Macaca fascicularis: one gene and its partners. The protein of the gene in region 2 purifies or fractionates together with the protein of the main gene of each other region. This does not show direct contact. Links are inferred from orthologs where the notes say so. Each region holds a gene or a part of one and is shown on either strand. Other genes may lie near its edges. The genes, in order: CDK4, CEBPA and MRTO4.

What was found.
Region 1: the proteins of CEBPA (region 2) and CDK4 purify together in Homo sapiens (affinity purification with western blotting; 3 studies listed by BioGRID, with this or other methods). This does not show direct contact. The link is inferred for Macaca fascicularis from reciprocal best matches to the Homo sapiens genes CEBPA and CDK4.
Region 3: the proteins of CEBPA (region 2) and MRTO4 purify together in Homo sapiens (affinity purification with mass spectrometry; 3 studies listed by BioGRID and IntAct, with this or other methods). This does not show direct contact. The link is inferred for Macaca fascicularis from reciprocal best matches to the Homo sapiens genes CEBPA and MRTO4.

Annotation. Positions count from the first base shown.
Region 1 is NC_088385.1:64,562,731-64,573,061, forward strand, and holds CDK4 (cyclin-dependent kinase 4), read right to left. Parts: upstream 8,454-10,331; 5' UTR 8,330-8,453; intron 7,893-8,329; 5' UTR 7,874-7,892; coding exon 7,656-7,873; intron 7,501-7,655; coding exon 7,365-7,500; intron 7,248-7,364; coding exon 7,080-7,247; intron 6,923-7,079; coding exon 6,813-6,922; intron 5,650-6,812; coding exon 5,599-5,649; intron 5,463-5,598; coding exon 5,327-5,462; intron 4,764-5,326; coding exon 4,671-4,763; 3' UTR 4,389-4,670; downstream 1-4,388. Other genes in the region: TSPAN31 (tetraspanin-31), read left to right, coding at 1,287-1,349, 1,890-2,057, 2,314-2,394, 2,727-2,858, 3,162-3,275, 3,362-3,436.
Region 2 is NC_088393.1:40,580,463-40,590,869, forward strand, and holds CEBPA (CCAAT/enhancer-binding protein alpha), read right to left. Parts: upstream 5,673-10,407; 5' UTR 5,553-5,672; coding exon 4,476-5,552; 3' UTR 3,075-4,475; downstream 1-3,074. UniProt on the Homo sapiens protein: Transcription factor that coordinates proliferation arrest and the differentiation of myeloid progenitors, adipocytes, hepatocytes, and cells of the lung and the placenta.
Region 3 is NC_088375.1:215,823,389-215,832,960, forward strand, and holds the end of MRTO4 (mRNA turnover protein 4 homolog), read right to left. Parts: intron 8,385-9,572; coding exon 8,281-8,384; intron 7,270-8,280; coding exon 7,188-7,269; intron 6,878-7,187; coding exon 6,810-6,877; intron 6,508-6,809; coding exon 6,356-6,507; intron 5,552-6,355; coding exon 5,475-5,551; intron 5,348-5,474; coding exon 5,198-5,347; 3' UTR 4,025-5,197; downstream 1-4,024. Other genes in the region: aflatoxin B1 aldehyde reductase member 4, read left to right, coding at 177-364, 557-661, 1,447-1,543, 1,755-1,854, 2,426-2,555, 3,646-3,807. UniProt on the Homo sapiens protein: Component of the ribosome assembly machinery. Nuclear paralog of the ribosomal protein P0, it binds pre-60S subunits at an early stage of assembly in the nucleolus, and is replaced by P0 in cytoplasmic pre-60S subunits and mature 80S ribosomes.

The DNA of each region.
Region 1 (10,331 bases), on a different chromosome or scaffold from region 2:
GCCAGGTACTCTTCTAAGTATTCTACATATATTAACTCATTTAATTCTCACAACCCAAGAGGTAGGTGTGTTGTTATTTATCCCCATTTTACAGATGAGGAAACAGGCACAGACAGTTTCTAAGCGCCTGGCCAAAGGTTACACAGCTAGAAGTGGCAATCCAAGTGGCAATCTGACTGTGGCAGTAGACTATAGAATCTTAAGTACACACAAACATAAATCATTCTGTTGAGTTGATTAGAGGGTTTTCTTTTTTGTTCCTACTGTTTCTTTCTCCTGGGGAGAGAAGGATTATGCCTTTCCCTACCCCCGTGAAAAGGACGGTTTGTCAAAGCACTTACTAGATAATAAAGTTACTGATCAGTCCACCCGTAAGTGAAAAGGTGGAGACTCCTTCCCCTTATATTTATTTATATCCAAGACTCTTCCTCTTGCCTGTCATTTTTTGCAAGCCCTGGATCAGGCGTGTACTCTGAAAATGCTGAGCACACCCGTGTGTGCACTTGTGGCAATGCCACACACAGGAATGCGCTGGCCTGAGGCCGCTATTTCCACACTGAATTTCTGGTATATTCACACCCCTTTTAGGAGGGTATATGGTAGAGGACATGGGTACTGGCGGACACACAAACGTATGATGATTTGCTGGGTGTTGCTGTGTCCAATCCGCGGACTCTGTGGCCGGGCTAAATAAGCTCAATATGTGGCTCCTTTGGGTGTTCCCGAGCGTGACGCATTAACAAAACAATGGCGTCATCATGAAGTCACTGCAGCACAGGGGGAAGGGAGGGCGGAAGGGCCCTCCTTCTACCGGTGGAGCCCTTTCTGCCCAGCTCTCGGAGCGGCCCCCCACCTGCCCCTCCCGCCGTGTCCCCTTCACCTAAATTCCTCCAGAGCCGTCTCCCTCGAATTAGCCCTCTCCTAACTCCGACCACAGAAAGCTCAGCTTTCAACTCAAGCTTTTGGAGTTTAGACTGTTGTCCCTGAGAGAATCTCTAGAAGCCCTGCCCCTAGTTTTCAGTTTCGCCCAATGAAAAAACAAGAGGAGGAGGACAGAAGGCGGGTCAGTGACGTAATGCGGGCTGATTGGCATGCAGGCCTTGGACGTCCAGGATTAGCCACGCATTTCGCCAATCCAGAGGCAGGGGAGGGACGGTGCAGGCGCAGAGAATTGGGTTTGGCTGGCCTCGATTTAAAGAGACAGAAGCTGTCGGGGTCCTGGAAGACGGTCCCCAATACCCTCCCCCCAAGTCCTTGGGACCACTTGGGTCCTCAGAGCTGGGGAGATGGTTTGCGGCGGCTTTGCCTGCTCCAAGAATGCGCTTTGCGCTCTCAACGTGGTCTACATGGTGAGGTTTTGGAGGTGGGGGAAGCTTTCGGGCGGAAAGGCCCCGTGGGGAGAATCTCCAGGGTACTTCCGTTGGGGAAAGGGGTGTATAGGGGTTCCGGGAAGATTCCCAGGAACTTCCGGCGAAGAGGGAATTCCTGGGGACTTCCGTGGGAGAGGGAAGACTACCGGTTGATGAAGGGGTTTGTCTGGGGGTGGGGGAATGAACTTAAGGCCGTGGGCATAAGTTCCATCCCTCCCTCCTTTGAACCTCAGTTTCTCCCAAAGTAGAAGTGATAGGATGATCCTGAGGGTTCAGCTTTTGTATTCATAGTACTATCCCTGCCACCCCCTATACCCCATCCCAGCCATTCTAACCTTTGGGAATGCCCAGGGATGCTCCTGGTGGCGATAGCACCACCCCCGCCCCGCCCACCCCCCTCCCTCCCATTCACACACCATTCTATTATTCCTTCCCCACCCCCGCCCCCAAGTCCTCTTGTAATGGCCTTGGGCCGTGCTCATGCTAGAATTTTTGAGATGTATCCTGCTTTCTTTGTAGCTGGTGAGCTTGTTGCTCATTGGAGTGGCTGCTTGGGGCAAGGGCCTGGGTCTGGTGTCCAGCATCCACATCATCGGCGGAGTCATTGCTGTGGGAGTCTTCCTTCTCCTTATCGCAGTGGCTGGACTGGTGGGTGCTGTCAACCACCACCAAGTCCTGCTGTTCTTTGTATCCTAACCTGAAGTGATGGGGGCAACTGGGCTCTTGGGAGGGCTGTCATCTATGGAAGATGTTAAAAGGGTAGGGGACCTCAGGGATTTTGGACATGTCTCCTTGCCCTGCCCTGTCCCATAATCTACGAAACAAGAGCTGATTTTATTGCTTTCAATTTGACATGGTGGTATAAGTTCTATGAACAGATGAGACCAGTTATAGATGGAACATAAAGGAATCTAGGACTTTTTTCCATAACCTTTCCTCTCAGTACATGATCATCCTTGGTTTGGTCTTCATCTTCCAATTTGTAATCTCTTGCTCATGTCTGGCTATTAACCGAAGCAAACAGGTAAGACAGTACCCTTTCAAGTACTTACTTGCTTTTTAAAATTTTCCTCTTAACCTCAAACTCCTTCCTTAGTCTGGCCCCAGCTACCCAAAGATCATCCTTAGGTGCACTGCTTCTGGCCCCTTGGGCTATTTGCTTCCTCTGGAATGTCTGGTTAATTTTTCATGAGGATGATCTAGAGAACCTGAAAAGGTAGATATGTATTGTGTCTATAATTGTGGCACACCATTATGCTTCTGGTTGACTTCTTTTGCTGGACTAGGGAAATTGAGGCACTTGAACTGATACTGGGATGTAGGGAGACTTAATTTCTCTCTGCCCATATCCTCCAGACAGATGTCATCAATGCTTCTTGGTGGGTCATGAGCAACAAGACTCGGGATGAACTGGAAAGAAGTTTTGATTGTTGTGGCTTATTCAACCTCACAACCCTGTACCAACAAGATTATGATTTCTGCACTGCAGTGAGTGTGTTGGGGGTGGTGCAGCAGGCAGGGGAGGTAGGAAACTGGGTAAGGACAATGCCCAAGTTGGCAAATTTAGTTCGAATGTCATTGTTTCTCGAGAAGCCCTCTTGTATTGGGGCTGTGTATTGGTGGGGGGTGGGGGTGGATAAAGAGGCTGGGGAATTAGCCAAGTCGGATTTTAGTTTGTAGGACGCTGGTCAGATAACAGGAAAGTTTCTAGAGACATTCGGCATAGGTATTGGTGACTAGCAACTTTACATTAGCAACTTTGCATTCTTCACACACACGTTTTATCCTCAGATCTGCAAGAACCAGAGCCCCACATGCCAGATGTGTGGAGAAAAGTTTCTTAAGCATTCAGATGAAGCCCTGAAAATCCTAGGGGGTGTTGGACTCTTCTTTAGCTTTACAGAGGTACATTCTCCAGTTTCCTCACGCACATCCTTTTCAACTTGAGACTGAGAATTGATTGATGCTTCTCTCTCCCTTTGTTCCTACAGATCCTTGGTGTTTGGCTAGCAATGAGATTTCGGAATCAGAAGGATCCTAGAGCCAACCCCAGTGCCTTTCTATGAGACTTTGGATCCTTCTGACTTCTCTTCTGCTCTAAGCTTTCTCTTCCTCCCTTAGGGAATATCTAGGGTCTGTAACCATTTTGGTTTGAGAAAAAGGAAAGGCCCCTTGTCAAATCCTCTAAAATTGATGGAATAGCAAGACTTTATGGCTTGACATATTTTAGTGGGAGCCAGACTATAAGGAATAAAAGGAAAAACTTTCTCCCTCTCTCTCCAAGAGGATATGGGAAGCTTCTGAGGGTACATAGGATAGGCTGGAGTCATTCTTAGCTGTTTCCCCTCCTCCGTCCATATGCTGGATCACCTCAACATACTCTGGGGTGTGGCTCTAAGGGTAAATCAGGGACAGAGCCAAGGAGAAAACCACCAAGAGCTCTTTCCTGTAATAAGCAGGACCCAGTTTGAGAAAGTTCAGTGAATATAAAAAAGCCATTTAAAAATCTATATATATATATATTTTTTTTTTGACATTGAGTCTTGCTCTGTTGCCCAGGCTGGAGTGCAATGGCATGATCTCAGCTCACTGCAACCTCTGCCTCCCGCGTTCAAGCGATTCTCCTGCCTCAATCTCCCAAGTAGCTGGGATTACAGGTGTGCGCCACCACGCCCGGCTAATTTTGTATTTTTAGTAGAGACAGGGTTTCACCATGTTAGTCAGGCTGGTCTCGAACTCCTGACCTCAGGTGATCCACCCGCGTTGGCCTCCCAAAGTGCTGAGATTATAGGTGTGAGCCACCGTGCCCCGCCCTAAAATCCATATTCAAAGAAGCAATTTCTGTTCCTTTCTAAGCTTTGTCAGTCAAGGGGCTCCACTGACTTGCTAGGCCCTGTAACTTAACCAGTCTTTAAGGTTTTGCAGGAAAGTCCCTTCTTCCAAGTGGTTATTCCAAATCGCACAATGGCAAAGCCAAACAGAGGAAGAAACATTAAAAAAAAAAAAAAAAGACCATTATTTCTTTGTTTTGTTTTTCCTGTATAAAAAAGGACCCCAAATATAAAGGTAGGGAGAGGGACAAGTGGGAACATACCCCTTAGTGTAGAGAAATAGTGGGGCAGGAGAAGGAGAAGCCTCAAAAGGAGAGGTAGGAGGGAAATGTTAAGGCAGCAAAGTAATCTCTGTAGAAAGATGGAGGAGGAGCCTCCACAGCTTCAGAGATAAAGGCAAAGATTGCCCTCTCAGTGTCCAGAAGGGAAATGGCAGCTTTTCTTCCTTCCATGGCAGCCACTCCATTGCTCACTCCGGATTACCTTCATCCTTATGTAGATAAGAGTGCTGCAGAGCTCGAAAGGCAGAGATTCGCTTGTGTGGGTTAAAAGTCAGCATTTCCTGAGGGGAGAGCCAAAGGTCAGAAAACCATGAAGAAAACTGAGAGAGACTTCTACCCACCCATGACAATACCTGGGATGAGCTCTCTTCTTTTCTTTCTTTTTTTTTTTTTGAGACAGAGTCTTGCTCTGTTGCCCAGGCTGGAGTGCAATGGTATGATCTCAGCTCACTGCAACCTCTGCCTCCAGAGTTCAAGTGATTCTCCTGCCTCAGCCTCCCAAGTAGCTGGGATTACAGGCGTGCACCACCACGCCCGGCTTATTTTTGCATTTTTAGTAGAGACAAGGTTTCAACACGTTGGCCAGGCTGGTCTCCCAACTTCTGACTTCAGGTGATCTGCCCACCTTGGCCTCCCAAAGTGCTGGGATTACAGGCGTGAGCCACCACGCCCAGCCAGGATGGGTTCTCTTCCACATCCCTCTCTGTGGGTGGCCATCTGCAGCTGTAATAAAAACTACAGCCCATCTACCAACCAAGTTTCATTAACCACAGTGGCCAGGGCCCTGCACACTGCTCTATTTCTTTCCCCAGTCTCTCCCTATGCCCACAGCCATCTCCAGTACCAGCAGCAGCTGTGCTCCCGACTCCTCCATCTCAGGTACCACCGACTGCACTGGGCGGGGCCCTCTGGGGGGAAAGGCTCCACGGGGCAGGGATACATCTCGAGGCCAGTCATCCTCTGGAGGCAGCCCAATCAGGCTGTGGGGGACAGGAGAACTCTGGTCAGGAGGGTCCTCCAGTTCCCATCCCCATGGGCAGAGCCAGTTGCCATCCTGGGCTTAGCAGAAAGAGGACTGAGAATAGAAAATCTTTTTCTCCCCCGTTGGTCACTTACTCAAAGATTTTGCCCAACTGGTCAGCTTCAGAGTTTCCACAGAAGAGAGGCCTAAGGTGAGAAGGGACATAAGGTAGCAGTCATTTTCAAAGATATCTTAGTTGAATGGTTACTGCTTAGTGGCCCAAAATAGAAAGCACAGGGAATAAAGGTCGATAATTCCAGCACTTTGGGATGCTGAGGTGAGAGGACTGCTTGAGCCCAGGAGTTCCAGATCAGCCTGGGCAAGCAAGACCTTGTCTCTTAAAAAAAAAAAAAAAAAAAAATTGCTGGGCACAGTGGCTCACGCCTGTAATCCCAGCACGTTAGGAGGCTGAGGCAGGCGGATCATGAGGTCAAGAGATTGAGACCATCCTGGCCAACATGGTGAAACCCCGTCTCTACTAAAAATACAAAAATTAGCTGGACGTGGTGGCACGCACCTGTAGTCCCAGCTACTTGGGAGGCTGAGTCAGGAGAATCACTTGAACCTGGGAGGCGGAGGTTGCAGTGAGCTGAGATCGCACCACTGCACTCCAGCCTGGCGACAAGGCGAGACTCCGTCTCAAAAAAAAAAAAAAAAGCCAGTCATGGTGGCATGCACCTATAGTTTCTGCTACTCAGGAGGCTGAGACGGGAGAATTGCTTGAGCCCAGGAGATAGAGGCTACAGTGAGCTGTAATTGGGCCATTGCACTCCAGCCTGGGTGACAGAGTGAAACCTTATTGCAAAAATAAATAAATAAATAAAAGAGAATAAAGGGATATGAAGTTCCTAATTCTAGAGCATTTCAGAGCTTTCTGCTATGGGCAAAGTAGTCAGTAGTATGCAAGTAAAAGAATGGGGCCAGGTCCAGTAGTTCACGCTTGTAATCCCAGCACTTTGGGAGATAGCGGTGGGAGGACTGCTTGAGTACAAGAGTTCAAGACCAGCCTGGGCAATATACTGAGACCCCCCCCCTCTACAGAAATATTAAAAAACTAGCTGGGCATGGAGTGTCAGCTACTTGGGAGGCTGAGATGGGAGGATCACTTGAGCCCAGGAGGTTGACACTGCAGTGAGCTGTGATCATGCCATTGCAATCCAGCCTGAGCAACAAAGCAAGCCCTGGTCTCAAAAAAAAAAAAAAAAAAGAAAAAGAAAAAGAAAAAGAAAGAATGGGCAGGGTGTGGACGTGGTTTATGAACAAGCAATTTGGGGAATTCAAGGTGGTCCAGGGTATGTGGGTCCCATACTTTCGACGAAACATCTCTGCAAAGATACAGCCAACACTCCACATGTCCACAGGTGTTGCATATGTGGACTGCAGAAGAACTTCGGGAGCTCGGTACCAGAGTGTAACAACCTAAAGAGAATAGGAAGAATGGATGGGGACTCCATGGGTTACCACAAAACACAACTTGCTTGACTGAACACATGAAGCACATGACTTCTCAATTGCTACAGGCAATCACTCTCCTACTCCCAACCAGAACCCATTTTGGTACCATCTTTCTACTGACCACGGGTGTAAGTGCCATCTGGTAGCTGTAGATTCTGGCCAGGCCAAAGTCAGCCAGCTTGACTGTTCCACCACTTGTCACCAGAATGTTCTCTGGCTTCAGATCTCGGTGAACGATGCAATTTGCATGAAGGAAATCTAGGCCTCTTAGAAACTGGCGCATCAAATCCTAGTTTAGAAGGGGGAGGTACAGATGCACTGGAAACTAGGCACCATACCTGAAATCCCAGGAGGTTTTACTACAAAGGTCCCAATCCACCTCTCAATGCCTACCAAGCCCACTCACCTTGATGGTCTCGGCTGGCAAGCCTGGTGGGGGTGCTTTGTCCAGATACGTCCTTAGGTCTTGGTCTACATGCTCAAACACCAGGGTTACCTTGATCTCCCGGTCAGTTCGGGATGTGGCACAGACGTCCATCAGCCTGGCCAGAGTAAATGCTCACTTTTCAATCCCCTTTAACCCAACATGGCCTCTCATTATTTCCTCAGGGTCCCCACTTCTCTACAGATCACCACACCCCACCTATAGGCTGTCTTTTCCCTTTACTCCCCACTCCCCTCGTCACCACCTTCTCACCGGACTACATTGGGATGTTCAAAAGCCTCCAGTCGCCTCAGTAAGGCCACCTCCCGAACTGTGCTGATGGGAAGGCCTCCTCCAGCTCCTCCTCCATTGGGGACTCTCACACTCTTGAGGGCCACAAAGTGGCCACTGTGGGGATCACGGGCCTTGTACACTGTCCCATAGGCACCGACACCAATTTCAGCCACTGGCTCATATCGAGAGGTAGCCATTCTCAGATCAAGGGCGACCCTACAATCACAGACTCCTATCACCAAAAGTCCCTTACAGAATTAGCATGGTATGAGCCTGCAGCAACAAAAGGACTCCCAAAAAAAAGCACAAAGAGCAACACTAGCATCCCATCCCCCGCTCGCAGCCTTCCTTGGGGCCGGCCCCAGAGATAACACAATGACTCAATACCAACCCCTCCAGCCACGTGAGGCCCTGCAATAAAAAACGCATTTTCCTTTGGGACAATCGCGCCCTGCACAAAGATCACACATGACACATGCCTTGCATCAAAGATCCTACACCTCAGTCCCTAAAATTATACTTTCCCATGACCACAAAGGCCCCACTTCCCGCCCTTGAGCGACCCCTCCATAACCAGCTCGAGAAACGAACGCGTGGAAAACTGTGAGGGGGGCGGGCACTGGTTCTCATTCCCGGGAAGGGACTGCACTTACCTCACGCCAGGCCGGGGTGCTGCGGGGGCGGCCCGTTATCGGGGCCCCGGAGCTGGTTCCTACGGCCCCATACACCCAAGCTCGGTCCGGGGCAGCTGGACGCAGAGGGCCCGACCATAGACACAGGCCGCAAGCTAGAGAGGCCCCCTCACCCCCACCCTCACCATGTGACCAGCTGCCAAAGAGGCGCGCGGAAACTGGGAGGGCGGGGCGAACGCCGGACGTTCTGGGCACGTGACTGCCACCCATGCGCGGAGGGGTGGCCAGGAGCCGCTTTGACGGGGAGGAGGGCGAAGAGTGTAAGGGGGCGGAGGGGCGATGGTAGCCACGTGATCTGTTGCTATCACACGTGACCGCTTGACATTGCTCTGAGGAGCAGAGGTGTGGTTACGCGGCGGGCACATGACTGGCTGCCACAACCCCCGCCGCGGGGGGGCGCGGTAAGGGGACAAGAGAGGGTGGAGCCCGAGGCGGTGCCATGGCAACCTAGGCCACCCAGAGCCCAACTCCCGGCTGAAGGATTGTCTCACTACCGGTCTGAAGGCTGAACTCCAGTCTCACTACCGGTCTTTCAGCCTGTCTACATTGGGGAGGGAATGGGAGTTGGGGTACCAGAGGTGATGCTGTCACCTTTTCGCTCCACCATGATAAAACATACTCTCATTTGTGTCATTGATTCATTCATTAATTCTACAACATTTTACTGAGTGCTTGCTTCCAGTGTGTATGTGGGTTTTTATTTTGTTTTGTTTCTGGTGTCTGTCACTGGCCCTTTAAAGTAGTGGTACGACTATCTAGAAAGATGTAGCCAACAATGGGGTCTTCTAAAATAGGGAGTAAACAATGCCCATTTGAGGGCAAAACTACGATTAAAGGACGGACAGAAGGCAGATTAATACAGTAATCCAACAGGTTCAGTGACAAGGTAATGCCCCCTCTTTTCTCAACTTCCAAATCTCCCTGGGAGTGTTAATGCAAAGACCTGAGGCCATCTGGCAGAGAAGTTATTAATGAGCAGGAGACAGGAATACTTGACCTTTAAGTTTTTTTTTTCCCCAGTAGGACGGTTCTATGATTATGTGATATTTTTATATGTGTATATATACTTCTATGTATATATGTATGTATATATTATTTATTACATGTAATATATAAGATGGATACAGGAGTGTACATGTGCAAGAAAGTTACCACCACACCCCCTGCACCCTCCAGACCACCACAATGAATGAAAATGACATGTCTCCTTCTGTAAACCTTGTGACTGCTCATTTGGAGTCATTGTGCTTCCCTCTTTTTCCCTAGTGCCTCTTTCTTAGCACTTAGCGGTGTCCAGAACACACTTTTTCCCAAATGGCCTCTGCCCACAGACACCGAGGTAGACGTAGGTAGATTTCTCCTACTTTCTTTGTTTTATTGGCTCCAAGGTCTTCATGTCCTAGCCCTTTGAGGGTATGGGAGTAAAGGAGGAAAGCGGTTAGTGTCTCATTTGTGAGAATTTGTGTAAAATCTAAAGCCATTTTATTACCCTATTTGCCACTCCTTCCACTCTAACTTGTTTTCCTTAACCATCTGGCTGAGAATATAAGAGTTCAAACTAGAAGATGAATATAAACCGTGATTTAGAGCAAAATGGAATACATGTTAATACAGATGCCCCCTCTTTCCATCCTGATACTTGTAGTCCTGGGCCCCTCCTGGCAAGGGCAGCTGAAACACTAGTAAGAAAAATCTCAAGGACTGAACTGACTAAGGGGCTCAAGAGGTGAATGTTTTATTGGCTACCTTGCTAGGGGTGGGTGCTTTGTAAGCCTTCTGGAGGCGAAGATAAGTGTCTAAGTGTTTCAAACTCCCTTCCCACACCAGCATTCCCCACTTCAGCCTCACCTTCCACATAAGCCCTTCGCACCTTACTCTCTTTACAACAGAAGCCGTCTTCTCTGTCTGCTTGGGTCCCAGCCTCTTTTTCTGATTCATTCATTAGTCCATCCAAAACATTTGA
Region 2 (10,407 bases):
CTCAGCTTACGTCAAACGCTCCATCCGCAGAGAGGGGCGTGGGGGAGGGGGAGAGGTGGGGCTGTCGAGAGAGAAGAGATAGCAAGAGTCTTTCACAGAATCAAGAAAGCTTTCAAAGGTGCTGGTGGGTTAATTTTATCTAAAGAAAGGAAAAAGAGGCCGGGCAGGGTGGCTCATGCCTGTAATCCCAGCACTTCGGGAGGCTGAGGAGGGAAGATTGCTTGAGGCCGGGAATTCTGAACCAGCCTGGGAAACACAGTGAGACCCCTATCTCTACAAAAAAATAAAATTAATCCCAGCAGCTACTTAAAGGCTGAGTAGGAGGCTGAGGCAGGAGGATTGTGTGAGTTCAGGAGTTTGAGGTTGCGGGAGTGGTGACTGCACCACTGTACACCATCCTGGGTGACAGAGTGAGACCCTGTCTCTAAAAAAAAAAAAAAAAAAAAAGAACAGAAAAGCCTTCCCATCCTCACTAGTATAGGAAAGAAACAGCTGGAATATCAACACCATCTAGGCAAGGACTCTGCCCCATGGCTGGAGAAGGCCTGTGGGTGCCTTGGAGGCCCCTCTCAGCTAAACAAAGTCGGGGGTTTCTGCTCTCCCTTGACCTTCCCCATGAGGGGCCCCTTCCCCTCCTGTGAGACCAGCAGCTCCTGGAGGAGGCCTGGCAGGTTCCTGTCTGGGAAGGAGCGGGTGGGAGAGCTGGGAGGGGCAGACACTCCTCACCAGGCCCAGTGGCTCATCGCAGGTGTCAGGGCCAAACCCCACGTTTACAGATTCCCAGGAGATCCAGGAGATAAGAGTAATATCCGTGACAGCACTAAGCCATCAGGAAGCATCTGGCAGCAGAGGAGATGCCTCCCTCCCTTCTACCCTTGCCCTTTCCTTGAAGGCCAGCTAACCCTGAACAGCGCTGTCATGGGACAGAGGGCTCAGGAGTGGCACAGCAAGGGGGGGGGGGCGAGGTCCCTGCAGTCTGGTGCTACCTGTCAAGGGGAGATCAGGGCAAAGGAGAAGCATCCAGACGCATCCAGGTGGCCAGAAGGAGGCCACCCTCCCTAGGTGTTTCATCAAAGCTGCTGCCTCCAGAAAGCCCTCCCTTGTGGACCCCGTTCACACTCTGAGCTCCCCTTCGTTGCACTTGGCACCCTTAAACCACAGCTTGGGGCCTCAAGGGTGTGAGCTCCCTGAGAGCCAGAGCAGAGTCTGCTTGTTCCCAGCCCAGCGCCCCATCTTTGGTGCAGGCCCTGGCATACAGTAGACATCCGATAAGTACTTGAGGTGTGTTCAGTGCTGGGCTCTTGGAGTGGTTCTTCCTGAAGGCCGCAGTCAGGAGGGGAACTGTGAGGAACCCTGCAGGAAGCGGTGGGCGGCAAAGGGCGACTCTGTTCCCAGGAGGCCCCTACGGCTGGGCACGGGGTACGTGCTGGGCAAGTTCACCCCATGCTGCCCAAAGGGCCCTCCTCCCCTCTACTTTGGCCCACCCTGGAGACCTCGCCCTCCTCATCCCTTTCCTGGGGCTGGATGGGATTGGATCCGTCTTGTCCCTAACAAAGCCCACCCTGGAACTCAGGACCAGGAGGACTCGGGGTAGGAGAGATCCCTTCCGGAGCCGACAGCTTTGAAAGAGGAAACCCCTAGTGGGCTGGCACAGCAGAGAGGAGGGGAAGGAGTGAGGACAGGAGGGTCGCCCCACCCCCTCCCGTCCTAGGACCTGTTCTGGGGGGAAAGGGGGAAGCCAGGGATCAGCCCCCTCAAACAAGAAAAACTGGAATTAGCACTGAACTCAGAGGGTTTGCTGGGGCTCAGCAAGCTGTGGCCTGCCCCAGGCCTCTGGGCACGCGGTGGGGCTCTGCCTCCTCTGTTCCCAGGGTGGCAGGGCAGGCGCCGCCTCCTCACTGGGCTCGTGGCCTCTCCTCTGCCAAGGGCGGCCGTGGGTGAGGAGGCGGCCAGACACAGGACAGAGCAGGGGGCCGGAAGGGGTGCCAGCTAACCACGCAAGCAGGTAAAGCTGAACTTCCAGAGTGTAAAAGGAATGTGTAATTTCTCGAAAATGCCCCAGCCCGCATTGGCACACACAGTAAGCCACTCAGTGAACCTTCTCTCGGTGCAGAGTTTAAAAAAAAAAAAAAAAAGCGCAATTTATCTTTTACCCTCCAAGAGGATAAAATTTGAAAAGCACCATTAGCCTCCTGGGCCTCTTCCTCCCGGGCCTTGTTAGTTCAGGGATAAGGGCTGCCCTCCCTTGTTTAGCTGTCACTGCTGCTAAGAGGGTGCTGGAGTGCCTGAGCTTACAGGGTGCTCATTGGAGTTGGGGGCACGCCAGCACTCAGGCCCCTGCTGGGTACAGGATGAATGCAGTGGGGAGTGTGGATGCTGGGGCGGTTCTTGAATAGCCAGTGTGTGGGGCAGGACCAGACCCCTGTTGCAGGCCTGCCTCAGCCCCCTTTCCTGTGAGAGCTGGGGCTGGGCAGGTGTGGAGGGCTGGATGGAGGGGTCTTTCTCTTCAGGCTGCCTTTGGGCCTCGAAGGGGTAGGGTATAGCCACATGGTCTAGGGAAAGAGCAGAGGGTTGGAGGGTCCTACCACTGGAGGCCTATTCCTGCTGGCTGAGGATCCTGGTGGAAGCTGGAGCTGCGGTGGGTGTGAGTGAGGCTGCCGGGGCTGGAGCTGTAGGTGATTTGGAAGGAAGTCTGGACAAAGGGCTCCTTGAGCCTAGGCCTGCTGAGCCGGGCCTGCCCCTCATGCAGAGGACTCCCTCTCCTCCTCCCAGGGGCAGATAAGACCTTGCCAAAGCCTCAGCCCCCTAACCTCTTCGAAGGCCCCCTCTCCTGACCCCGAGACTGCCTTCAGGCTCTGGACACTCTCCGTTTGGAGCCTTGTCCTCTGCTATTTATTTGTGTTGCCTGGGGGAAGTAAGTCACCCCCTTAGGGTAAAGAGGGGCTGGGGGTGGATGGAGAGCTCATGAAAGTCAGGATTGCCGCCAGGGAAAATGCTGTATTATTTACAAATGTGGCCTGGCCCACAGACAACCTTGGAAGTAGCTTCTTTCTGGTTTTAAAAAGACACGGACATTGACTTTCGATATGTTTATATTATAGATATAATACATAAAACATCTACGGTGAGACTCTACGTTCTCCCCAAAAGAAGAGAACCAAGCCGTCTTTCCCTGCTCCCAGCCCCAGTGATGTGTTGGCGAGAGGCCACCTCCCTTCCCGACCAGGAGCCAGGGCCTCTGGGGGACAAGCCTTGTGGGCAGCCCAGGCCGGAGGGGCCGGGGAAAGCTGAGGGCAAAGGAGAACTCCCCTCACCTCATTGGTCCCCCAGGATCAAAAGTAATCCCAAAACCAAAAGGAAAGAGAGTCTCAGACCCTTCCCCCAGCTGCCGATGGAGAGTCTCATTTTGGCAAGTATCCGAGCAAAACCAAAACAAAACAAAAACCAAATAAAATGGTGGTTTAGCAGAGACGCGCACATTCACATTGCACAAGGCACTGCTGGGGCACAGAGGCCAGATACAAGTGTTGATATCGGCTGATAAAGCAAAATATTTGGAAAGCTTGTCATAACTCCGGTCCCTCTGGGATGGACTGATCGTGCTTCGTGTTCCTAGGCAATGCTGAAGGCATACAGTACAAACAAGGCTGAGGGTCCCAGTGGCCCTTCACCCCCCAAGCCCGCCCACGGCCAGATCTCTAGGTCTCCATCTCCCACCAGGGGTATACATCCTCAGAGCTGACTCACGACCTAGCTTTCTGGTCTAACTCGTGGTGGGGGCTCCCACTGGTCACCTGGTGACTCCCATCTCAGTGAGTTCCGCCCCAAGGGAAAGCCCAGCCTATAGCAGGCTGGGGTGGGGTGTGTGCGGAGGGAGGTGGGAGAGGCGTGGAACTAGACCCTTCACCTTCATGTAGAACTAGGGGAACAACCTTAGGTTTCAAGCCCCAAGTCCCTATGTTTCCCCCCATTTCTAAGGACAGGCGCGGAGGAGCGGCTGGGGCCGGTTGGCTTGTCGGGATCTCAGCTCCCTGAGCCCTCCTCCTGCCACGGGCCTGCTCCCCTCCTCCTCTCATGGGGGCCTGCTGCAGCCTCGGGAAGGAGGCAGGAAACCTCCAAATAAAATGACAAGGCACGATTTGCTCCCCCTACTCGGTAGGCATCGGAGCGGTGAGTTTGCATTTCCAAGGCACAAGGTTATCCTTAATACTAAAGTTGCCGGGCTCCCAGCTCAGCCCCAAGAATTCTCCCCTCCTTGCAGGGAGAAGTCACCGCCTGGCCCCCTCATCTCAGACGCACCAAGTCCGGCGCAGAAGAAGGGAGGGGACACGCGGAGCAGGCCAGGCTTTCGGGAGGCACCGGAATCTCCTAGTCCTGGCTCGCATGGCTCGGGCAAGCCTCGAGATCCGGCGACCCCAAACCACCCCTGGGTCCCCGCCGGAGGCTGGCCCAGGGCGGTCCCTCAGCCGCGCGCCTCACGCGCAGTTGCCCATGGCCTTGACCAAGGAGCTCTCTGGCAGCTGGCGGAAGATGCCCCGCAGCGTGTCCAGTTCGCGGCTCAGCTGTTCCACCCGCTTGCGCAGGCGGTCATTGTCACTGGTCAGCTCCAGCACCTTCTGCTGCGTCTCCACGTTGCGCTGCTTGGCCTTGTCGCGGCTCTTGCGCACCGCGATGTTGTTGCGCTCGCGCCGCACCCGGTACTCGTTGCTGTTCTTGTCCACCGACTTCTTGGCCTTGCCCGTGCCGCCGCCGCCACTCGCGCGGAGGTCGGGGTGCGCGGCGCCCAGCCCCTTGAGCGCGCCGCCGGGGCCCGGCAGGCCGGCGGCGCCGAGCGCGGGCGCGGGGTGCGGGCTGGGCACGGGCGTGGGTGGCGGCGTAGGGTGACCGGGCTGCAGGTGCATGGTGGTCTGGCCGCAGTGCGCTATCTGGAACTGCAGGTGCGGGGCGGCCAGGTGCGCTGGCGGCGGGTGCGGGTGTGAGGGCGGCGGCGGCGGCGGCGGCTGGTAAGGGAAGAGGCCGGCCAGCGCCAGCTGCTTGGCTTCATCCTCCTCGCGGGGCTCCTGCTTGATCACCAGCGGCCGCAGCGCCGGCGCCCCGACGCGCTCGTACAGGGGCTCCAGCCTGCCGTCCAGGTAGCCGGCGGCCGCGCAGCCGTAGCCGGGCGGGGGCCCGTGCGCTCCCCCGGGCATGACGGCGCCCCCGGGGCCCGCGGGCGCGCCCGGGTAGTCAAAGTCGCCGCCGCCGCCGCCGCCGCCGCCCGCGGGGCCCGCGGCCGCCTTGGCCTTCTCCTGCTGCCGGCTGTGCTGGAACAGGTCGGCCAGGAACTCGTCGTTGAAGGCGGCCGGGTCGATGTAGGCGCTGATGTCGATGGACGTCTCGTGCTCGCAGATGCCGCCCAGCGGCTCCGGGGCGGCAGGTGGGGCGGGAGGCTGCGCGGGGCCCGCGCCGCGGGGAAAGCCGAAGGCGGCGCTGCTGGGCGCGTGCGGGGGACTCTGCAGGTGGCTGCTCATCGGGGGCCGCGGCTCCGCCTCGTAGAAGTCGGCCGACTCCATGGGGGAGCTAGAGTTCTCCCGGCATGGCGAGCCTCGGCGGCCTCCAGCCTGCGCGGGGCGTCGCCGCCGCCCACCCGGAGACCCGACTCGCCCGCGCCCGCGCAGCTCCGGGTCGCGAATGGCCCGGCCCGCGCCGGCCCAGCTTTTATACCCCGCGGCCGCGTCGCCCCCTAGAGTCCGAGGCGGCCTCTGTCCCCGGGCGGCGGCGGCGCGGCGCCCGCTGGGTCCTAGCGCGCGGCCGGGATGGAGCGGCGAACAAGCGGGGCCCAGGGCTGCGCTCCTCAGGCAGGCCGCGGCGCAACGCCCACCGCCTCCTGCGCGACCAGCAGAGCCGCGGCGCTCGCTCCAAGCTCCGCCCCCGGCCCAGCTGTCGCCCCTGCGCCCTCGTGGTTGGTGGCGGGGGCCCCCTCCTCCCGCCTCCCCTAGGCACCCACATTCTGCCACGGCTGGGAGCCCAGGAGTATCCCGAGGCTGCATGGGGTAGGGGTGGGTGGCGGAGGGGAGTCTTGGTCTTGAGCTGCTGTGGCTCGGACTCTCTTTCAAAGCCAGAACCAGGCCTGTCCGGGACCCGCGTCCCGGGGAGGCTGCGGCGCAGAGCGGCGGGGCGGGCAGGGGCCGGTGGGGGGCCGTTTGGGACGCGCGGAGAGACCCGGAGCGCGGTGGCTCTGCGTCTCCTAGCTCTGATCTCCAGGCTACCCCTGTGATTCCGCGCAGAGGCACCTCTCGGAGGACGGTGGAATCCCACGGGCGGCGCCGCGCGGGGCGCTAGGACCCCGCGGGGAGCGGAGGCGGCCTCGGCCCGGGAGCCTGAAGGACCTGGCCGGTGGATCCGCCCGGGCTGGAAAACTTTCTTTATAATTACTTCTCCAGGCCGGAGCGCGCGACTTGCTAGGCGCGCGGGACAGGCGTTGTTACCCAGCGTGGAGTCGCCGATTTTTTTTCCTGAGGGACCGGCGGGCTCCGGGAATAGCCGAGCTGGACGCCGGGGCGACCATGGGGAGGGGCGCACCGAGGGAGGAGACAAACTTGACTCTGGGGCCGGGATCCCGAGGCGGGGGCCGCAGTCCGCGAGGCCCGAAGCCACCGCTTCCTCCCCCCACCCCCCATTCAGGTGGGCGCCAACGGCCGGAGCGAGGGTGTCCAGGCCGCCGGGGCCGCCAGGTCCGAGCACCCACAGGAAGAACTCTGCCCGGTAGTTCGCTGGGCGCTGTGATCCCCGGGATCCTGGGGACCGAGGCGGCTGGGCCCTGGGGCCCCTTGAGTGTGGCACGCTAACGCTTTCACCGCGGCGGGGGAAGGAGCTTGCTACCGAGACCCCCGGCCACGTGCGTCCCTCGCATTCTTTACCGCGGCCGGGGTGGGGGCTGCGGACTGTCAGCTGGGCCCAGATGGGGTCTTGGGGGCCCTCAAGTGTCTCCTGCCCCTGCCTGCGCCGCCTTTCGCCACTGGCTCTGAGGCCTGACGCAGTCTGGGTCCTGGCTAGAGGCGCGCTTGCCTCCAGGTGAGGGAAGACCCCCTTCAGCTGTAGGAGGACCTGTGGCCTTCTTGAAGACCTGGCAAGGCGCCACGACCCGCCCAGGAGCCCCTGAGGGGGCGCAGCTAAAAACACCGCTGGAGAGCCCTGAGCTTCCACGACGATCGCAGTAAAGAAGCGGTTTCTTCTGGGCAATGCACACTGCGCTTTAATCAAGTTCCTATTCAACATAGTCCCAGTGATTAATAGCCCAACTGCTTCGTTTTCGGTCCAGAGCTCATAAACAAGATATTTTTAGCTTGACGCTTTTGGACGGGAGGGAGTAAAAACCAGATACGTTAAATAAATAACCCGATGTGAGCCGAAGAGCTGCTTGTTGAGCCAAATGCAGGACCCATTCATATACCATCCACCTGTGGAGGGAGACCTGGACGGAAATCAAAAAACACCCAGAGCGATTTGCATGTTTTTCTGCAGTGCTAAAACTAATGGCTTTTCCTAGCTAGGAACAAAGAAACGCCTCTATACATGCACGGTTCCCGGCCTGTGGAGTTGTGGGACGAAGGCGATGTCTGGCCTTTTTTGCACAGCTGCTGTTGCCTGCCCGGAGATCGGGAACTCTGCTGGGTAGGACTGGAAGAAACCTCAGTAATGGGAATAAGACTTGGTCCAATAGCGGGCTGATGAATGTGTGGGGGCGACAGTGGCAAGGAGTGGGGCTCCCGGCCTGGGGGTCTCCAACCCTAGGGGCCACAGGTCCTCCTACAATTGAACCAGAATTCGCCCACCCGAGCCTGCCCTGTGCAGGGTGCCAAGAGCCCAGTGATGCGTGAGAAGGTGGCTTGTGCCTCTGGGAACTGGGACAGTGGGAGAGACTCATAAGTTGTCACACAGAGGCTGCTGGGAGGAAGGAGGAGACAGAAGGAGTAGGGGATGGGACTTCATTCATTCATCAAATGCACAGGAGGCACAAATGGGAATCAAGGGTGGATGTGCTATGATGAAGAGACTTCCCGCCCTGAACAAGGTGGCGCTGTGGAGGAGGCAGAGATCAGATTTGTCTGGGGAGGTGTTATGGACTGAACTGTGTCCCTGCCCTAAATTCCTATGTTGAAGGCCTAACCCCCTCCATGTGACTGTATTTGGAGATAAGGCTTTTAGGAAGTCATTAAAGTGAGATGATGTCATATGGGTAGGGTCCTAATTTGATAGGATTGGTGGCCTTATCAGAAGAACAATGTCATGGGCGCGCACAGAAAGGAGGTGGCTGTCTGCAAGAGGGGAAGAGGCCCCTCGGCAGAACCTGACGGTGCTGGCAACTTGGCCTTGGCCTTGGGCATCCAGCCTCCAGAACCGTGAGAAATAAATGTTTATGGTAGGCCTATGATGGCAGCCTGTGTGGACTGAACCGGGGGGTGAGACAGGGCTTCATGCAGGAGCAGACCTTTGAGCTGGGCCTTGAAGGTTGAGCAGGAATTTGCTGGAAGGATAAGGAGGGAAGGCTCTTCTACGAGGAGGGAATGGTAAGTGCAAAGGTGGAGAGCCTGTGAGTGCATGTGTTCTGGTAACAAAGGACGAGATGTTTGGCAGGCTGGAGAGTGGGGTGAGGGAGGAGGGGCCTAGATAAGGCTGGATCCACAGACCGGGCTGGGCTGATGGCCAAGGCCACTGCAGGTGAAGGAGGAACCCTTATCTCCCAGGCTTTTGACCTCCAGTTTTTAGCAGGGGAGCTTCATCGTCCAATTTGGGTTCCTGAGAAGCTACTCCGGCCAAGACAGAGAGGGGGTGTTGACCAGATGGGAAGGATGGAGACTTGAGGCCCCAGTATGGAGCAGGCAGGGTAGATTTGAACAAGATGTCAGGACTTGGGGGGCTGAATGCCAGGCTTCTGGCTGGGATTACTACCCCCTGACATATGTAATGCCCAGGAAATTGGAGGCCCCTCTCCAAGCCCCCAGGAGGCAATTGGGGACTCATTCCAGGATACTCACCTGCCTGCTTTGTGGTTTTGGAGGAGAGGACCTTGGAGCAGTTGCTAAGATCCATCTACCGTGTTCTGGTTTTTCCTTGGAAGCCTAAGAGTGTACCTTGGGATGAGGAGGAAATGGTTTTGAGGGCAAGTGGTAGGTCTCTGGCTAGGCCCGGCTGGGTGCTCAAAGGACAAGGGGTATCTAGGGCACTAGGTAGAAGTGTCCTGCCCAAGCCCTAAAGCAGGAAATTAGCTGGGGAGTTGGAGTGAGACCCTGGGGTCGATGGAGCCACTTTCCATGGGAGATTCCCACGGGGTAAGGGAGGGGCGGGCTGATGCCTGACAGTCTCATAGACAGTCGGCTTGTGGCCGGAGAAGTGGGAGCAAAGGAGAAATCACCTCTAATTGAGAGAAGTGGCTCTGGCTCGTGTGCAATTGAGACAAAGCCAGTCATTAAGAGCAGCTTGTAAATTCTTCTGTCACCACCTTTAAGGTCCTTCTTCCTGAGGCTGTAGATGGGAGTGTATACAGGCCGGGTGTAGGGGGGTGAGCGTGAGTCCCCGGGAAACGGAGGTCCTGAGTTTTGGGTGCTCCAGGATGAAGCCTGGTTCTGGAGACAATTGCAGCACTAACCGTTTTGAGAAGACAAACAGAGCCCTAGAATTGTTTTATTTTACTTTGGTTTAACCTTCCTAATGCAAGGCCCATGAGAGAATTAGTACATAAGTTTGGAAATCAATCAAATTCTGAAGAGCAAAAACGGAACTAACCCTTCCTATGTAGTTTTCTGACTTTATCTGAAGCTGAAGTGTGTGTGTAAGATTGGTCGCTCCAAACAGGACCAATTCAGATAAGATAAAAGTCCAAAACTATGATTTCAGGCTCAGCTGAGCTCTGGCTAGGGGCACAAATGTCTAATATGGTCTATCTAATTATGTTTCAGTGATTCAGTAAGATACTCTCAAAGGCCTTCCTCAAATTAGACAAACAAAACAAAACAAAAAACACTAGTTACTTTTTGTTACAAATGGATTCACAAATGAGTTTTATACTGATTCGTTTTAGGCTTTAGATCTTGACACGTAAAGCGTATGAACTCAATGTATAATCAACCCAAAGTCTAGTGTTTCTTTTTCTTTCTTCTTCTTCTTCTTTTTTTTTTTTTTTTTTTTTTTTTGAGACAGGGTCTCACTCTGTTGCCCATGCTGGAGAGCAGTGGTTGGATCTCAGCTCAATGCAACCTCTACCTCCGAAGCTCAAGTGATCCTTCCACATTGGCTTCCCAAAGTGCTGGGATTTACAGGTGTAAGCCATTGTGCCTGGCCTAGTGTTTTTTATCAACAGGCATCCAGCTCTACCCACGAGATTACTCATCCTGTCTCCCCAGGAGGCTTTGTGTCCCCACCCAAATG
Region 3 (9,572 bases), on a different chromosome or scaffold from region 2:
ACCACCCCCAGCTAATTTCTGTATTTTTAGTAGTGATGGGGTTTCACCGTGTTGGCCAGTATGGTCTCAAATTCCTGACCTCAGGTGATTTACCCGCCTCGGTCTCCCAGTGTGCTGGGATTATAGGCGTGAGCCACCACGTCCAGCCCTAAATTTTCATTTCTCTCTCCTCTCAGTGAAAATTGCTACCAAGGCCAATCCATGGATGGGGAACTCCCTGAAGCCTGACAGTCTCCGGTTCCAGCTGGAGACGTCACTGAAGCGGCTGCAGTGTCCCCGAGTGGACCTCTTCTACCTACATGGACCTGACCACAGCACGCCGGTGGAAGAGACACTGCGCGCCTGCCACCAGCTGCACCAGGAGGTGAGGGGACCCCTGAGCTCTGGGAGGTGGTGTGCTGCTGCTCTCCTTATCCCGTTCCTACTCATGACAGCAGAGGTACCAGGGCAGTCCCAGGGTGGAGCAGGGAACAGCCCCACTACCAAGGGCCCCACCCTGGCCTCCCCTTCCTGGTCTGGGCTGCACTGCGTTCTGACTGGAGCCTCACCCATGCAGGGCAAGTTCGTGGAGCTTGGCCTCTCCAACTATGCCGCCTGGGAAGTGGCCGAGATCTGTACCCTCTGCAAGAGCAATGGCTGGATCGTGCCCACTGTGTACCAGGTGAGGGCCGGGGCTGCAGAGGCCAAGGTCTCCAGAACTCCTGCTCATCCTGGGCTGTCTTTGCTGCCCTGACTGCCCCCTGTGCCCTCTGCATAGCAGCCACTCCCCTGCTGAAAGCCTGCAGATGGCTCCCAGGTACCCTCAGGATGCCATTCAAGCTCCTCAGGCTGGCCACTGGGCATCTGCTTCCTTCCTGCCAGCCTGTGCACCTTGGACCCTTCCTTCCCCACCTGGCCCTGCATTCAGCCTGGAACATGCCCTTCCCCGCCACTGTCCCTTCCATGCCACTGCCCCTTCCCTAGGAGAACGGTTCAGATCTCATATACGTCTCATCCTCTGGAAGCCTTTCTAGATGGGCCCAGAAGACCCTGAGACCTCAGGTCGTTGTTTACCTCCTCATGATTCATTGCACAAATATTTGTACACCTGCTTGGTGCCAGGCACTGGTCACGGAACTTTCTCGTCTATTAAGATTACCTCATTACTCGATTGTAACTATTTATACTTGACCTTATTATAAAACCTTGAGGGAAGGGACCCTGTCCTTTTGGCTTAAGAATCTAAATCTGACAACCAGCCTGTAGTTGGTGCTCATGAAAGTTGGCTCAATGAATGAATTTTCCTCGGGCATAAGCCCCTTTCACCAGCACCATAAGAGTAAGTAAATGCCCAGATGGTTAAAGTCCTAGAATTGATAAGGTCTGAAATAAGGGCTCTATAAGGGTAAATTTGAGGTCCCTTCTTTTGACACATCCACTCTCTCTCCGGGGTCCCTCTCCCTGCAGGGCATGTACAGCGCCACCACCCGGCAAGTGGAAACAGAGCTCTTCCCCTGCCTCAGGCACTTTGGACTGAGGTTCTATGCCTACAACCCTCTGGCTGGTACGTGGAGCATTCCTGACCCTGACTCAGCCTATTCCCGACCCACAGATGCCCAGCCCAGGACCTGGGAAGCAGGGAGGGTTTGACAAGGGGCTGGGCTGCGTCCTTCAGCCCTCCTGGGTCCCCGCCCCTCCCCTAGACCAGAGCCCTGAGGGATGTGGCAGCTTCTGGGGCACTCTAGGTCCTTGGGCTGATCGCTGCCTTCCCGCAGGGGGCCTGCTGACTGGCAAGTACAAGTATGAAGACAAGGACGGGAAACAGCCCGTGGGCCGCTTCTTTGGGCATCAGTGGGCAGAGATCTACAGGAATCGGTGAGCTGGGGGTGCTTGGTGTGGATGGCTGGGGTGGGGTCGGCTTTATGTGGAATGAAGTCCTGGCTGCTCCTGGGGTAAGGCCTTTCCTCGCTGCTGCACCTACTCCCCTGCATCCCTTCAGGAATTTCCAAACCCTACGGGGGTTTTCTTGTTGTCTGGGGACCTCCAGTAGAAAATGAGGCTCCCTGGACCTCAGGGTCTTGAAGTTGTAGCTCTTTCCTGAGCACTCACCTGCTAGGAAGGAAAGAAGGCGCCCTGGAGGGAGGTCCAGGAGGCCTCGGGCTGAGTCCTGCCCCGTCTCAGCGGCCTTTGTGTCCCTAGGGGAAAATAAGAGCAGGGTGATGAGTTCTCAGGAATAAAGATTGGTTGAGGTCTCTGTTGAGAGGGCCGGCATCTTGGGTGGTTCTGATGCCCAGCAAAGTGGGAGACCTATGACCAGAAAGGACACCCTCCCCTCAGGGCTGCAGGGTGTGGGGTGGGCCAGTGGCCCTGGATGACCCTTTTTGGTTGTGGCTCCCAGTATGACCCCCATGGTACTGACCCCTGTGCCACCGTCCCCCCTTTCCAGCTTCTGGAAGGAGAACCACTTCGAGGGGATTGCCCTGGTAGAGAAGGCCTTGCAGGCTGCATATGGCGCCGGCACCCCCAGCACGACCTCAGCCGCCCTCCGGTGGATGTACCACCACTCACAGCTGCAGGTAACCAGCGACCCTGGGCCCTCAGCTCCTTCCCTTCCAGGGGGACCAGCATTTAGGTGAAGCCCAAAGCATTTGTTTTCTCGATTCCTCTGAAATTTCATTCTTCTAAGTCTCATAAAACTCTTCCCACTGTTTTTTTTTTTTTTTTTTTGATACAGAGTCTCGCTCTGTTACCCTAGCTGGAGTGCAGTGGCATGATCTCAGGTCACTGCAACTTCTGCCTCCCAGACTCAAGCAATTCTCCTCCCCCAGCCTCCTGAGTAGCTGGGATTACAGGCGTGCACCACCGTGCCCAGCTAATTGTTTGTATTTATAGTAGAGACTGAGTTTCGTCAAGCTGCCTAGTCTGGTCTCGAACTCCTGAGCTCAGACAATTCACCCTCCTCAGCCTCTGAAAGTGCTGGGATGACAGGCGTGAGCCACTGTGCTCCGCCTTCCCATCGGTCTCTGATGGTATCTGAGTACCAGGCTTTGTAATGAGGGCTTTGCTGCAGGGATTTCATTATTCCTTTGGCTTTATGAAATGACTGTCCCAGTGTTATTGATGAGGAAACTGAGTTTCACCCAGCTATGAAAGGGGAATACATTTTAACACAGGTTTAACTGTAAAGCCCACTAATCTCATCCTTTTGGTGGGAGCTGGAATTTCCCTCTCAGTGCCTCATGTCTTCCTCTTTCAAATTTTTCTCCAACTCCAGCCTTAGATGTTGCAATAGTGTCTGGCACATATATAGTAGGTGCTCAATAAATAGGAGCTAAGTGCTCTACATTACTTTTTCATACACATAATTATGTTGAAAATAGAGGATTGAGTGTCAGAGAGGTTTTAATAACTTAGTCACCTTTACACGGCTGCTGGGGGGCAGAACTGGGCTGTGAATGTAGGTGTGTCTGGAAGCGTCATGTGGTAGTAGGGGAAATAATACAGGTTTTGAGTGACATGGGTACAGCTATCCAAGGCACCTTAAGTTCTTTCTGGACATATGGGATATAAAAGAGCCCAAATCTCGGTAGGGTCGTGACTGGGAGGGTTGTGAGTGAAGTCGCTGTGTAGCAGAAGAAGGTTGAAGTCTGGCTGTCTCCCTTTCAGGGTGCCCACGGGGACGCGGTCATCCTGGGCATGTCCAGCCTGGAGCAGCTGGAGCAGAACTTGGCAGCGGCAGAGGAAGGGCCCCTGGAGCCAGCTGTCGTGGATGCCTTTAATCAAGCCTGGCATTTGTTTGCCCCCGAATGTCCCAACTACTTCATCTAGGCCCATCGTGGCTCAGGCTGCCCAAGGCTCTTCTGTCACCTCTTTTGCTCTCTCATGCTTTTTGTAATTTAGAACTGCCTCAGTAAATTCTTAGGGACGGAAGTATTTGGACAAAAACTTAACAGTAGAGTCACCACCAAACGAAGAATAAAGCCTCCCAGGATGCTGCGTGTTAGTCTGTTTCCGTTGCTATAAAAGAATACCTGAGACTGGGTCATTTACAAAGAAAAGAGGTTTCTTTGGCTCACGGTTCTGCAGTCTGTACAAGAAGGTGTGGTGCCAGCATCTGCTCTTGGGGAGGGCCTCAGGAAGCTTACAGTCATGGCAGAGGGGAAGCGTAGCCAGCATGTCACATGGCAAGAGAGTGAGCAAGAGACAGACGGGAGAAAATTCACACACTGATGGGGGGAATGTGAAATGGTACAACCACTTTGGAAAATAGTTTGGCAACTTCTCAAAGGATTAAACATAAAATTACCATAGGATTCAGCAGTTCCACTTGTGGGTATATAGCCAAGAGAAGTGAAAACGTATCTCCCCACAAAAAACTTGGGAATGAGTTTTCACAGTGTCATTACTCATAATAGCTGATAATTAAAAACAACCCAAATGTCCATCAATGAATGAATGCATAAAGAAAATGTGGCATATTCATACAACAGACTATTATTCGGCCATTTAAAAAAAAAAAAAAAAAAAAAAAAAAGAGTGGCTCACACCTTTAATCTCAGCACTTTGAGAGGCCAAGGCAGGAGGACTGATTGAAGACAGGAGTTCCAGACCAGTCTGGGCAACAGTAGTAGAGACAGGGTTTCACTGTGTTTCACTGTGTCAGGATGGTCTTTATCTCCTGACCTTATGGTCTGCCCGCCTCGGCCTCCCAAAGTGCTGGGATTACTGGCGTGAGCCACTGCACCTGGCCCAGAGCTTTTTTTTTTTTTTTGAGACGGAATCTCGCTCTGTAGCCCAGGCTGGAGTGCAGTGGCTGGAGTGCAGTGGCCGGATCTCAGCTCACTGCAAGCTCCGCCTCCCGGGTTTAGGCCATTCTCCTGCCTCAGCCTCCAGAGTAGCTGGGACTACAGGTGCCCGCCACCTCGCCTGGCTAGTTTTTTGTATTTTTTAGTAGAGATGGGGTTTCACCGTGTTAGCCAGGATGGTCTCGGTCTCCTGACCTCGTGATCCACCTGTCTCGGCCTCCGAAAGTGCTGGGATTACAGGCTTGAGCCACTGAGCCCGGCCCAGAGTTTTATTCTTTATAGGAGGTCAGTGCCCATCACATTCCCTGTCTACAGACAAATAAACAGCTGCTCTCTTCAGAGGGGCGGCAGCAGTCCTGCATGGTCCAGTGAGACCCAGAAGGTTCCAGGAGGCCTTTAATTTTGAGTCCCTTTCAGTCATCGTCTTCTGAGTCTGACTCTTCTGCGGACTCGGATGCGCTCTCTGGCAAGTCGTCTCCCATCTGCTGGAACCTTCCCGACTGTGAATCCCACATGTATTTGATGGTCACCTTGAATTCAGCCATCTCATACCCAAAAAGCTTCTGCAAGAGACAAAGGGAACAAAGAATCAGGAGGAATGGAGGTATTCAAAGTGCAGGGGGTCGTTTTCAGCAGGCAGAAGCCAGCCAGCGGCCCCTCCTGCAATAGCCCTCAAGGCGCCAGACTCACCAGGATGCGAGCCTGCTCTGGGGTCAGCACATCGCCCTCCTTGCACACCTCAAAGTCGGATAGCAGAGTCACTACACCTGCAGAAGAGGGTGGCTCTCAGTTACCTCTGGCCCAGAGGCCTGCAGAGCCCTCTCTGTCCCTGCCACGTTAGGAGGAATCCAGTCAGCCACCTGCCCTCCCCACAGCTCCATCACACACTGGGCAGTGGCTGTCTCCCTGAGGTCCCTTTGATTCGCCACAGCCTTGACCTCCTGGGTTCAAGTGATCCTCTTGCCTCAGCCTCCCATGTAGCTAGGACCACAGGCACACACCACCATGGCTGTCTAATTTTTTGACTTTTTTTTTTTTTTTTAAACCGGCACCAGGCCCCTGATGTCCCTGTCCCTCAACAGCTGCAAGACTATAAGTTACTGTCTGCTGGAACCCAACTGTGAGGCGTGCACTCTTAGCCCCATTTTCTTTTTTTTTTTGAGACGGAGTCTCGCTGTGTCTCCCAGGCTGGAGTGCAGTGGCGTGATCTCGGCTCACTGCAAGCTCCGCCTCCCGGGTTCATGCCATTCTCCCGCCTCAGCCTCCCAAGTAGCTGAGACTACAGGCGCCCGCCACCACTCCCGGCTAGTTTTTTGTATTTTTAGTAGAGACGGGGTTTCACCATGTTAGCCAGGATAGTCTCGATCTCCTGACCTCGTGATCCACCCGCCTTGGCCTCCCAAAGTGCTGGGATTACAGGCTTGAGCCACCACGCCCGCCCCTTAGCCCCATTTTCACATGAGAAAATGGAGGCTTGTAGAAATAACTTGCTCAGCCAGAAAGGGATGAGCTTGCAGGCTTGTGCTCTTGGACTCTAGGCTGTGAGCTTTTGGCTCCAGGGCTGCCCATACCTCTCTTGAGGGTGGTGGGCAGGCCCAGCTGCCTAAGCTGTGGCTCCATGGAGTGGGGGAACTGCTCCAGGGGCCCCGGGTCCAGGCTCACAGTGAATGCTGCTTTGTTACCAGCGCGGGCGTAGTCCATTTCTGTGTATTTTGTGAACCACCTAAGGGAAAAAGAAGCGGTAGGAGGGGATGCTCCTGGCCACACCACCAGCCCATGAGTCAGGCTCCCCCAAGTGTCCCGTGGCCCTGGGCCTTTACAGACCTTGGCTGCTGGCCAGCAGTCAGCCCACCACACCATGCTGGAGAGGGCAGAGAGGGCTGTGGTCCCAGGTCACTAGCTCAGTGACAGGCTTCCAGGAGCAGTTCCGACTTGATGCCGCATATGGAATGAAGTCCCTGCATCATCCCCTCCCTGAAATCCCCCTCACCCGCCTCTTTCTCTCCGTTCCTCAGCAGTACTTACTCATTCACCTCCTCCTTTGTGCAGTTGGTGAACAGGAGACCCACTTCACCCCTCAACCTTTTGCTGACCTACAAATCAAGAGTGAGGCCAGCTTGGTCACATTAGAGCAGTGGTTCTCTACTAGGCACGTTTTTGCTCACCAGGGGACATTTGGCAACGTTTAAAGATGTTTCTGGTGGTCACAGCAGGAAGGAGTGGGAGGCAGGAAGGGTGCTATTCCCTGGGTCCGGAGGTGAAGGGAGAACCCGGAGCTTTAAGCCAGGCCCTGCTCTCCCTGAGCCACGGGCCAGCCGACGGCTAGGGGAGGCTATCACGTGGGAGTAGTGGGAGAGAAGGCGGCTCTGCTTCAGCCCCACCCCGTGAAAACCAGAGATTTACCTGGTGCAGGTTGTCTTTGTACTCATCAGATGGGCTTCGACCCAAGGCCACCATCATTACCTTGTTTTTGCCAAAGAACATCCTACCAAGCAAGAGAAAGAGCGTTCTGTGAAGGAAGTGCCCTGCCCTCCCCGCCCCTTAGCAACATGCAAAGCAGCTCTGGTCCCCAGTGAGCTCAGGCCCAGGCTGAGCCAGTGGCACTCACTTCTCCATGCTGCCTGGCCACACTGTCCCCACTTCGGGGTCCTTTTCATTATGTTCCCACCCACAGACCCCTGACATGGCAACACTTTGTCTCCCAGCCCATCACGAGCATCATGTACGGGTTCTCCATCTGGATGTATGCAGGAGGCACGTTAACAGCCTGAACCAGAGCTGGGGCGGCAGGAGACCAACACCAGAGCCACCTGCTCCAGGACAGAAACTGCCCATGTGGCTCCTGCATCCTGCTCCCAGGTGACTGTCTGTGTCCCAGTGCCCATGCTGACATTCTAAAACTGGTGTGATGCTCCTAAATGGCCCAAAGTCCAGGGTTAAAGGGCCACTTCTCTGGAAAGGACCACCTCTCAAACACCTCAATTGCCAAGTCCTGCCCCCAGGAGCTCAGTGCAACATCTGCTTTTTTTCTTTTTGAGATGGAGTTTCACTCTGTCACTCAGGCTGGAGTGCAATGTGCGATCTCAGCTCACTTGAACCTCATGAGTTCAAGCAATTCTTCTGCCTCATCCTCCCGAGTAGCTGGGATTATATTATAGATGCCCGCCACTATGCCCGGCTAATTTTTGTATTTTCAGTAGATAAGGGGTTTTGCCATGTTGGCCAGGCTGGTCTCAAACTCCTACCTCAGGTGACCTGCCTGCCTCACCCTCCCGAAGTGCTAGGATTACAGGTGTGAGCCACCGCACCCGGCCCAAGACCAGCTGTAACAGTGAAAAGGAAGTGCTCTTCAGTGGCAGGTAGCACTTTGTCATTATTAAGGTGTCAGTGGCATGACCCAGGCACCTAAAGGGTCAGAAATTGCTCCTATACTTTGACTGAGAGCAGCCTGGCCGGGTCCCCACTCAGAAGGGCCTTCTTCCCCCTGCCCGCTCACCGGCTGTGCTTCCAGGCGTTCCGGATGTCCTTCAGCTTGCTGTTCCTCATGTTGGCCACAGAGAAGATGAAAAGGTACTTGTAGGTGTCCACACATTTCCGAAGCTGTGGGACAATTCACCAGGCTCTGAGTTCAAGCAGCAGCATACAATGGGCACTACTCTGGCCTCAGATGAGAATGAATCTGCTCTGGGCCCCTGACAACTATGGAAACTGGAAGAACTGGAGGCCTCTAATTGGGTTGTCTCCTACCTCTATTACTGAAATTAGGATCCCTAACTACAGGGGAGGCTGAGCCATGGATCTATACCCCACGGCCTTTTCCAGGTTTCTCACTTATCTATGACCAACAGTGGAACTGACCATCAACGGTTAACCTAGAAACATTCACCCACACTACGAAGGGTCCTGCTACGTGGAAGCATATGGAGCCTCACTGTTATAAGGGGAGGCAGCTGATCGGCACTGCTCTGCACGTGGTGCTGGCCAAAGCCACCAGGAGGCAGCCTCCAGGAGTGGAGTCATTGTGCAGAAGGAGACTGTTTCATCCAGCCTGCAGCCCAGGTTGGCAAGTCAGAAGCTGTACAGACAGTGGGTTGGTGCAGTCACCTACACCTGGTAAATCTCCCAGCTTTTTTTTTTTTTTTTTTTCTGGAGACGGAGTCTCGCTCTGTCGCCCAGGGTGGAGTGCAGTGGCCGGATCTCGGCTCACTGCAAGCTCCGTCTCCCGGGTTCACGCCATTCTCCTGCCTCAGCCTTCCTGAGTAGCTGGGACTACAGGCGCCCGCCACCTCGCCCGGCTAGTTTTTTGTATTTTTTAGTAGAGACGGGGTTTCACTGTGTTAGCCAGGATGGTCTCGATCTCCTGACCTCGTGATCCGCCCGTCTCGGCCTCCCAAAGTGCTGGGATTACAGGCTTGAGCCACCGCGCCCGGCCAGTTCCCAGCTTTTTTTTTTTAAAGACAGGGTCTCACTCTGTTGCCCAGGCTGCATACTGCCATGTCCAGCTAGCTTTTTTTTTTTTTTTCTTCTTTTCTTTTTGTAGAGATGAGGTTTTGTCATGTTGTCCAGGCTGCTCTTGAACTCTCAAACTCAAGCTATCTGACCACTTGGGCTCCCAGATTACTGTAATCCCACGCTGGGATTACAGGCGTGGCCCACCGTTCCTGGCCTCCTCCTGTTTTTTGTCATTGGGCAGGCTAACAAACCTCTATAAGCTTCAGTGACCCCAAATGCAAAACAGCAACATCATCACCTAGTACCCACATCTCAGCGATGTTATGAGGATGGAGT